Caenorhabditis elegans: one gene and its partner. The protein of the gene in region 1 purifies or fractionates together with the protein of each later gene. This does not show direct contact. Each region holds a gene or a part of one and is shown on either strand. Other genes may lie near its edges.

Evidence for each region. Proteins that work in one complex are often made in the same cells at the same time.
Region 2: the proteins of mek-1 (region 1) and shc-1 purify together in Caenorhabditis elegans (affinity purification with western blotting; 2 studies listed by BioGRID). This does not show direct contact.

Annotation. Positions count from the first base shown.
Region 1 is NC_003284.9:7,477,555-7,481,520, reverse strand, and holds mek-1 (Dual specificity mitogen-activated protein kinase kinase mek-1), read right to left. Parts: upstream 2,274-3,966; 5' UTR 2,266-2,273; coding exon 2,082-2,265; intron 2,033-2,081; coding exon 1,800-2,032; intron 1,750-1,799; coding exon 1,606-1,749; intron 1,551-1,605; coding exon 1,239-1,550; exon of another isoform or gene 1,113-1,238; coding exon 942-1,112; 3' UTR 516-941; downstream 1-515. Other genes in the region: F48E3.9 (Trichohyalin), read right to left, coding at 32-50. UniProt on the Caenorhabditis elegans protein: Dual specificity protein kinase which may phosphorylate kgb-1 and thereby is an essential component of the JNK pathway composed of mlk-1, mek-1 and kgb-1. May also have a synergistic role with sek-1 in phosphorylating pmk-1.
Region 2 is NC_003279.8:968,556-975,133, reverse strand, and holds shc-1 (SHC-transforming protein homolog 1), read left to right. Parts: upstream 1-2,000; 5' UTR 2,001-2,081; coding exon 2,082-2,147; intron 2,148-2,196; coding exon 2,197-2,267; exon of another isoform or gene 2,268-2,413; coding exon 2,414-2,486; intron 2,487-3,047; exon of another isoform or gene 3,048-3,183; coding exon 3,184-3,674; intron 3,675-5,150; coding exon 5,151-5,241; intron 5,242-5,295; coding exon 5,296-5,454; 3' UTR 5,455-5,801; coding exon of another isoform or gene 5,802-5,897; 3' UTR 5,898-6,046; downstream 6,047-6,578. Other genes in the region: cutl-20 (ZP domain-containing protein), read left to right, coding at 5,802-5,897. UniProt on the Caenorhabditis elegans protein: Scaffold protein which plays an important role in the activation of the JNK pathway composed of mlk-1, mek-1 and kgb-1; by bringing together mek-1 and mlk-1, promotes mlk-1-mediated phosphorylation and activation of mek-1 which in turn phosphorylates kgb-1.

The DNA.
Region 1 (3,966 bases):
CCAAATAAACAATACCTATAAAAATACCTACCTTTAATTGCCAACGACATTTATTGGAGATAAGCAATAGATATAGATGTGGTCGTTGGAAAATATTAGAGGAGACACGGAAATGAGTTGAGTCGCGGAAGGCGGACGAAGGGAGAACACCAGCCGGCACGAGTCCGCTCGGTTTCTATGGTGACGCGGGTAGGGAGAACCCGCCATTATTTAAAAGCTCCGTTAGTAGCATATCCTAATAATCTCCAGCGACTAATCATTTGGATTCATTTAAATGAGAGAGGTGAAGCGTTGTCGCGCAGGTGTTAATACACTGTATGAACATTTCAGAGTTGAGTAGGATATCGTTTGATAGTATTTAGTTTCACAAAATATGTACACTATTTCGAATACTTTCAAATATTGTTCAAGACACCATAGTTCCGATTACCTGTTAACTCGCTAGTTTCTACAGATCTGGAATTTGATTACTTCTTTCTGTAACGCTTCGTTCAAAACTTGTAAAAAAACGAACGGTCCATAGACTGTATTTAAATATATAAGATTACAACAATATCCGTTGAACAATTTGAATCACAATTTTAATGTCCACAGTAATCTCTGACGAGAAGACTAGCTGTGGATGGCTTAACTTTGAGACATATCATAATCAAAATATACAATCAATTAGGCCTACAATGATACTATACATCCGGAACATTCAAGTTTGGTAGACAGGGATTCGGTGAGAGAGGTTGGGAATTTTTGATAGAGACAACGGGAACGAGAACAAGTGAAAATAGGGTAAAAGTGGTAAATAGGGTAAATAAGGTAAAAAAGCAAAATTGAAAAACTTTGCACCATGAATGCTAGACCAGGAAATGTTATGAAAGAGATAGTGAATGGGATTGATAGTTTTTACAAATGATTTGGGAAATAACAATACGTTTGTAATTCGACAATTATCCGCACTCGCCCATCACATCGGCAAACCACTCCTCGACGTCGGTTTCAATTTTCTCGTGATGCACGACAAACGGATGCTGGAGGAGCATATCGTAATTGGGACGCATCGTTGGATCACGCTGCAGGCAGCTCTCGACGAGTTGACAGAAGTCCGGAGAGAATTTGGCCTGTAAAATTGTAAAATACATAAATACTAGTTGTGTACTGTTTCTAGCCGCCATAAAGCATATATTATGTCTACTGGTAGCTCTTAAAAGCTTTTTCTAGATGAATTTTTTACGAAGAGCACATACCGGATCCAGGCGCGGTGGCTCGTCATTGAGAATCTTGGACATCATGTCGAATTCGGTTCCGGCGTATGGGTACTGTCCGGTTGCCAGCTCGACCAAAGTAACACCAAAAGACCACACGTCACTGCGAATGTCATACGAGTCAAAGTTGTTGGGGTCGAGGCGCTCAGGACCCATGTACAGAGGGCATCCGGCTTGCTTCGAATGAGCACGAGACTCGATCAGTCTGCCAGCAATACCGAAATCGCAAAGCTTGATGACGCCACTCCAGTCGAGGAGAATGTTTGATGGCTTCACATCACGGTGCATGATTTGCTAAAAAAATCGGATTATATATTGTCCAAATGGTTCATCTGATTTATAAACTTACGTGCTTGGTTTTCAAGTAGTGCAGAGCTTTAATGATGCTCACACTCAACTTTCCAATAATTCTCTCTGGAATTGGCTGCTTGATGCGGATAAGCAGACGGTCAAGGCAAGTAGCCATGCACTCCATGCAGACACGGACGTCGAACTGAAAAAAATGATAATTGGAAAAGTCAAAGAATTCATAAAAATTCTTACGTTGGTGATGAAGTATCCGAAGCAACGTACAATGTACGGACAGTCGAAAGAGAGACAGATGACGTCAAGATCCATCAAAATGCGGGACATTTCATAACTGTTTGACGTCCGAGGCATCGTCTTCACAGCCATGATCACACTCTTGTATCTGCACTTTGTGACCGTACCGCAGCTTCCATGACCAATATCTTCCACGAACTGAAGCTCCTTCAAGTCAGCTTTACGACGGTTACCTAAAAATCAATTGTTACCGTTTCAAGATTATTTATTTAGCCAAATTACCTTGCAATGTGAGATATCCGGAGTTCTCCTCGGCCTGCTTCATGAGGTTCTTCACATTGTGGTCGTTACTACTACGGGATGGATGATGAGGCGCTGGCTGTGGCATTTGTTGCATGATCGGTTCACCACCAAGTCCTCCGAGCCCGCCAGGTCTGCCCATGCCAAGGTCGAAGTCTCTCTCCATCTTTTCACCTTAAAATTATTATTTTTAGTACAGAGAAAAAAAGAGATAAAGAAATATCAGGAAGAATCAAAATTTTGAATTTATATTTCTAGGATGAAAATATAAATTGTTGGGGCACGAAAAGAAGTGCACTAGCATTTCTAAGAATGAGAGTGGCTATACATATAAATAATAGGGGAAGTTATAAGAAAATGTCTTTGCTCTCATCATTACTCTCATCTCAATGCACTTTCGAAAAGTTCATGTACGAAATTAGAATGCATGATGTTGTTGCAAACAAGCCTCGTTTACGTCAATGGAAAGGCTCTTGCCTTTTGTGTTGGCTGAATATAGCAGCTGAAAACAAAAAGCGTATTAGCTTATACGACGAGGGGATCAAATGAGAAAGAGCTGCTGCCAAAACGAGAAAGGCAACGTTTTGAACTACTTTTCATTCTTGCCATGAGGATTAAATTGCATTACATCATGGTGAAAACATGGCATCACAGCAGCAAAAATGTCTCGAAAAGCGGCAAGACCGCATTGACGCCGTCGCAATTCCAATGCGGCGAGGGAGGAGGGAAGGGAGAGAAAAAACGAACGGCACACACACACACAAGTGAGACACACTGCGTAAATAAGTGCAAGAGTTACGTTGAAACACCGGGCACGCGACGCGACCGCGTGCGCACCCCCCTTCCGTTTCAAAACATTGGCGGTCCGTTCCCCATTTTTTTTTGTTTTCGACCTGTTTTTGCGATAGGTCAACTTTGAACTGAAGTTTATGTCAAAACGATTTGGTTATTTTGAATTTCCGGCATTGAACTGTTGAGTGAATAGAGTAAGAGTGTTAGAGAGAAAAAGAAAACAAACAAATTGTGATATGATAATTTCTGAAGGAAAAGTCAAGAAAAGCTGGGACTTTTCTGATTGATAATGATAAAAAACATTGATCATCATGTGAGGACAGCAACTATTATATAGTTTCTTTTGTAAAACAAAAAAAACGTTGGAAATTCAGAGAAAAGATTGTTTACCACTAATAATGTAATCGAATTGCGGTTAAAAAAGGCAAATAATAGTGTCGCGGAAAGTGGGAAAATTCCTAATATTTCGTAATTGAGAAACCATCGATTTCGAAATTAGGAGATAACATTGAGAATACTATTGTATGTATTTGAGAAGACGCAAACAAGAATTTCGACATTTTTTCTAATAAATGAGGAGACCCAATCAAATAAATAAAAACTATTTTTTTTTATATTTAAAAGCGGTGCTGGAAAATGTGGAAAGTCAAATTCTGAAAAACAACGAGGTGAAAACATTTTCTGATTTTAATTAGTCAGATAAATGCTAGAACACCAAATGCAAAAATCTCAAAATGTCTTGAATTCCATAAATAACAAATGCAGAATCAAGCCTAGTCATCGTGGCATTGTGGTCGTTACACTAAATCAGATATGGACCAGTTGTTGCATGACTCATCTCACAAGGTGCAGAGTTGGGAGCCTCTAACTTGTTTGTCGGCGACTGAGTTGATGGAAAATTATCAAAATTATGTCAAATCTTGATGGTTCATGATATGTTGAATTAATGCTTAATGTTTCTAGATATAGAGAATAGAACAAAAAAAAACTGGTCAGAGCAATTGCGCTGAACACAGAGAGCGTAGGAGCGGAGAGGAATCGATAATTGCGCTTTCATCCTTATCAGAAAAAATCA
Region 2 (6,578 bases), on another chromosome or scaffold:
TTTATTGAAGAGAATTTCAAAAAGTCAAATTCATCATTTATATATTATATACTAATGTAAGGTGAGAAATTGTCTAAGGAACCATAGGAATGTTTCCTTCCTCATCGCAATTTCTCATTTCATGAGTTTACTACTTTCCTGCAAAAAGATAACATGTATCTTAGGAACTAATTTTTATTTCAATTTATTTATTCGAATCGCAGAAATTTCCGGCAATTTTGGCTATTGCCGATATTACAGAAACTAAATTTGCAAAAGTTATCAGTTATCGGTAATTCTAAGCCTAAGCTTAAACCTAAAACTAAGCCTAAGCTTAAGCCTAATCCTGAGCCTAAGCCTAAACCTAGTAAATAATTTTACCTCTAGTTTCACTATGTATCATTTCAATTCAATAACATGCAAAAAAGTAAATGGACAAACTCCACTAAATTCAGAAAACCTTTGCTTCTGGTAAATACTCTTTAGGCAGCAGGTGATTTTAATTGTCTATAGGTGTTATAACTCCACAATAAATTCTTTTAACAAGTTATTATATATTTTTATTTCCAGCTCCCACTATGAATGTTGACTTTAAAGACCCTGTATGGCTAATCAATAGTTACAATTTTGTTGGTATTTTTTCTATATCAATAAATACGGCGACTATTTTTTTTGATTATTTTCAAAAGCGAGAAGATGGAGAGTATGAAGTATCATATTCTGGCGTTTCAGGTGATCTCCTTTAAATGTGGAGTATCGAAATCTGGAAAATATTTTTAATTGACTCCAAATTTTCCGCTGATTCCGAATCTCGATGTGAAAAAAATCAAAAATTCAAAAAAATCTGATAGATTTGGATTCTAGATTTTTTAAAAATATTATAGATGAGTTTTTGGGACAGGAAAGTAAATTTAAGCCGCGCTAGAGAGGTTTTTGTGTCGAGTTCCAATTTTCACAGGTATATGTAGGCGCAAAAAAACAAAAATAAAAATTATGGAATTCCGGAAGAATTGAAGTAAATTTAAGCCGCGCTAGAGAGGTTTTTGTGTCGAGTTCCAATTTTCACAGGTATATGTAGGCGCAAAAAAACAAAAATAAAAATTATGGAATTCCGGAAGAATTGAAGTAAATTTAAGCCGCGCTAGAGAGGTTTTTGTGTCGAGTTCCAATTTTCACAGGTATATGTAGGCGCAAAAAAACAAAAATAAAAATTATGGAATTCCAGAAGAATTGAACTCATCCCACCCCTCCCACTCCCACTCCCCAGTCGAAGCAGTTACCGACTGATCCAGGGAGGATGAGGGAAGCCTAGCTCCTCGGTGTGTGTGACTTTTCCGACCTAGATTTACAAATTAAAATCAAAACGGTTCACGGAAAAAAGTAATGACTGTTGAAAAACTGCTTATTTTATTGCATTTGTTCAATTTATTAAATTTTCCAATTTCCCGGTTGCCAAAAAATCAATAAAATTCAATTTTCAGAAAACCAATAAAATTATATTTCTCATCAAAATTCAAATTTCTATGACGTCGCCAGAATTAAATTTCTAGGTCACCGGTGACGTCTTCAGGCATAGTTTAAGTTTTCTAGGCCACCAGTGGCGTCATTTATTTCCCCAGGTATAATTTGAAACTTCTAGGCCACCGGTCACATCATTAATTTGTCTTCCACGGTCAAAATATTTCTCTTCCAGAACTAAAATAAGATTTCTAGTCCACCAATGACGTCATATCTTCTCCAAAAAAGCTATCAAGGTTTCCTAGACCATTAGTGACGTAATAAGTAGGCAATGATATTTCTAGGCCACGGCCCCCCCCCCCCCCCTCTGATCAAAAAACAAAGTTATGAGTCAACTTAACTTATTAGAATGCTGACTCACCCAGTCAACACCAATCTAATCTTTCCCTGTCTCCTCCCTACCACTGCCTGCGCCTCTCCGTCTCGCGCGCTCTCTCTCCCACTCCGCTCACCGCCTGCGTCTCCGTTTCTCTCCCGGTCATTCCTCATTCACTCAATCTTGCAAAATTTCGGTTGTAACGAATTTCGAGTTAGATTTTTTCTAAAAATAATCAAAAATTCCGTCGAAAAATCAACTTGCGGCGATGCTCAACGTGGAGCCCTCATTTGCAGAGGAGCTGCGGAGCAGCGGGGTTTCTCTGTCGGCTACTGTGAGTTTTTTATTAGTTTTTTCCCCGAAAATATAAAATTGTCTTTCAGTACCTCGGAAGTGTTCCAGTAGTCGAGTCAATTAACGTGATGGTTTCCGAGATGAGAGTTCAAGTTGTTTCGTTAGTTTTTCTTATGGCTTAAAATCAAAAAAAAATCTTATTCAAAAATTTAGAAATCAGGCGGTAGGCAGGCATGAAGGCAGGTAACATCTGCAAGCTCAAATATATAAAAAATCTACGTAATAAAGTAACTGTTCAATTTTCAGAGAATGTATACAACACGTTGCAGCTACTGTTGGCGTGACTGCGGCTCGAGAAATCAATCCAGTTGTTAGTAGGGTGAGTTTTTTTTTGTGAATTAAAAAAACAAAAGAAAATAAAATAAAAAACTTGCCATTTTCTGGGCATGGCTAATGGTAAAAATTTACAAAACATTTTCTCATTAATTTGATATTAAGTGTTACCAAAAATGCATGACCAGCTTTGCAAAATGTTTAAAAAAAAGGACCCGTGAAATGTCGGCCGCGCTACGATATCATCAAGAATTATTTCAAATTAACAAGCTGTCCAAATTAATGACTAAAAAATTATAGCAACCGACATCTCACAGGTTATTAGAGAAAGGTTACATGGTGCATCGACTGGAAATATCTGACTCAACTTTGACTACTTATATCTCTGCTGGTTTTGGTTTTTTTTTGAAAAAGTGTCAATTGACAAAATATTTATCGTTTTTTCTACTACAACTTTGCATTTTAACACTTTTTGATAGCAGCGAAATAAACTGAGATAATTACATGGTGCATCGACATGCTCAAATTTTGATAGCTTATATATCCAGTAAAATTCAGCCAAAAGCCTGCCACTATAGAATGTACTAAAGCAACCGACATCTTACAGGTCGATCAAAAATCGCGCTAAATGATGTCAGCCGCTATTCATAGAAAAGTTATTATCACTAATTTCGACTAAAATTATTGCAGCCGACACTTCACGGGTCGATGAAAAAGCCCAGGTAAACCATCCTTATTTTCAGGTAATCGGTGAAGTGAAAAAAGAAAACTTCCCCGTAGACATCAACATTTCCTCGAAAATGATCAAAATCATAAAACAAAGTCGTCTAATTCAACGTCATCCCTTCTCATTCTTCTCATTCGGAGCCCAAGGCCAAAAGGGTACGGACACGGAGCTAATGTTCGGCTACATTGCAAAAAACAAGGATGGAACGGATCGTCGATGCCACGTGGTGTTCATCGAGGATGTGCACAAGCTCATCGACGTCCTTACCACTGCGATCAATGTGAACACTTTTGATGCACAGGCGAATGCTTCAACTTCTAACGATGGATTTACGGTGCCGGCGCCGCCGATGAGACATCGAAGTTCCCTGCATCGACAGTCATTTGTGTCGAATTGCCGAGCACCTACTGTAACTGAGGATGTTGTGGGGAAAGTTTGGTATCATGGAAATTTATCCAGAGAGGATGCACAGGCTTTGTTGAAGACGGAAGGCGATTTTTTGGTTCGGTAAGGTTTTTTAGATTTTTTATAGAAAAAAGCTAGAATTTTGCTGAATTTCTAAAACGTTTGGCTTCATGCTCACTAGGTTCACACCAGGGGCGCGTGGGAATCGGAAATTTTCGGCAATTGCCAAAATTCCAACTGAATGCCGACATTTTCGGCAATTTTCAAACCTAATTATAATTCGAAAATTGAAAAAAAAGTTAACTGTGTTTTCAGTATTCGATTAGTCATTTTTAAAAGCAAACGGTCAATACTTAAAAAATTAAAAAATGTTTAGGCTCCTAAATCTACAAAAAAATATCAAATCTATATTTTCGGCAATTCGGGCAAAATTTGATTTTCGAAGAAAAAGGCTAATGTTTTAATAATTGGCAATTTTTTGGTAAAACCTGAGATAAGTAAAATATGAGCTATGATAGCTGATCAATGCATCATGTCTTCCATGTAACTTTTTCCAATCATATCTCGGTTTATATCGCTGCTAGCAAAAAGTGTTCATCTGCAAAGTTGTAGAAGAAAAAAGGATAAATATTTTGTCAATTAACAATTTTTCAATAAAACCACAACCAGCCGAGATATAACCTGCCAAAGTTTTGTGAGATATTTCTTGTCGATGCACCATGTTTCTCATGTAACTTTTTCCAATCATATCTCAGTTTATATCGCTGCTAGCAAAAAGTGTTGAACTGCAAAGTTGTAGTAGAAAAAAGGATAAACATTTTGTTAATTAACAATTTTTTAATAAAACCACAACCAGCCGAGATATAACCTGCCAAAGTTTTGTGAGATATTTCTTGTCGATGCACCATGTTTCTCATGTAACTTTTTCCGCTAATATCTCGGTTAATATCGCTGCTAGCAAAAAGTGTTCAACTGCAAACTTTTAGTAGAAAAAGTGATAAATATTTCGTCAATTGAAATTTTTTAAATAAAACCAAAACCAGCCGAGATATAAACTGCCAAAGTTGCGTGAGCCGGTCAATGCACCTTTCTTTAACAACCTGCGAGATGTCGGTCGCTATAATTTTTTACTAATAGTAAATCGGATAGCTTTTTAATATAAGCCTATTTTAACAGACTTCGTAGAAAAATCTGAAAGTCTAAAAAAATCAAATTTGACTGAAAAAATAGTATGAAAAATCCTTTTTTTATATATTTCTGACTTAAAGCTTCAGTCACATTTCATATCTGTAATTTGTTTGATAATATGTTCAGAAGCCACGGGACTTTAAATAATTCTTGAAAGACCAGGGAAAAATTTGGTATAATAAGTTCATCCTCCCAAAATTTTTTTAGATTTTTGTTTTAGGCTGAAATTTTTGTTCAAAAAAAATTCTGCGTTTTTTTTCCTGAAATACAAAAGATGCAAGGTTTGCATGATGCTAAGATTGTCTGAAGCAGCGGACACCTCACAGTCCCCCTTCTCTAAAAAAAGACCCGCAAGCTGTCGGCCGCTCAAACTTGTCCAGTTCCTTGCAGACAAAGCGACCACACGCCCGGCAAGTACGTGCTGAGTGGCCGAACCGCTGAAAACGAGCACAAACATCTCATCCTACTGGACAATCACAACGTAAGACCCTCCCCCCCCCCCCCCGCCAAACCTTCAAACCTCTCAAAATTCCAGAGAGTCCGAACCCGCGATCGCACGTTCAGCAACATCTCCGAGCTCATCGACTATCATGTGAACAATGGGATGGCCGTAAGATCAGAGGGTCGGGATCGCGAGACGTCGTTGAATCTGATCCGACCTGTGCCGTGCCCCGGAAGTGATGATATCGAATAGAGTCGGAATTTGTTTCCTATTTTTTTTTCGATTTCTAGCAGAAATTGAAAGTCGAGTAGCAAATTGCGTAAGACTTTTTCCTCTTCTCGTCGCCCCCCCCCCCTCTTTCATATAATTAGGTAGTTGTCCTTCTACCGTAACATGTCATTACTATCCTCTTTCTTTCCTTCTTTTTTTTGCGATTCTCCTCCTCGGCCACGCTCCAATTATACCCCCCACCCACCTGTATTCTTACGCCACCACCCCAACCAGCGCACACATCTTTTTGTATTCATTTTTCCATATATATTTGTATTATTACTACTATTACCCTCACTACTGTTATCGATTTTTCCCTCCACAAATTTATGATTCTGCACTGGATCATTTGGTCGGTGGTTGTGGTGCTGCCACCGCTGATTCGATCGGTGGCCATTGTGGACACTTCTATTGCGTGTGATAAGGTAGGGATGGCCTAGAAAAGTCACCTAGTCCAACACTCCCACCCCGTATCTATGTTTCTGCCATCTTGTGATATTTGCTCCATACCATATACCCTGCCCATTTCTGTCCTACTTTCATATCCTGAAAAAATGAAGTATTTGAGAATCGAGTTTTGAAAATATTAGTGGTGGCCTAGAAATTTTAGGCTTGGGTTTAGGCTTAGGCTTAGGCTTAGGCTTAGGTTCAAGCTTAGGCGTAGGCTTAGGATTGGGCTTAATCATGGGTTTAGGCTTAGGCTTAGGCTTTGGCTTAAGCCGAGACTTAGGTTTGGCGTCAGTGGCGAGCGTTAGCTTGCTACTGACGCTATTTAGGCTTAGGATTTTCCGGTTTTTTTTAGGCTTAGGCTTAGGCTTGAGCTTAGGCTTAGGCTTAGGCTTTGGTTTGGGCTTAGGCGTAGGCTTAGGCTGAACCTTAGGCTTAAGCTTAGACATTGGATTAGGCTCAGGCTTAGGCTTTTTGGAAGATGTGTGGAGCCAATAAAAAGTTGCATGGAAAAAATATGACGTCACAAATGACCTAAAATGTTTCATTGTTTTTGGCAAAAACACAATAGTTTAGAAATTTGGCTGCAAGAAGTTCCTCGGCCTAGAAACTCTCTTAAACTCTCGAAAAAGCGAATTTGAAGGGCATTTAATGGAAGA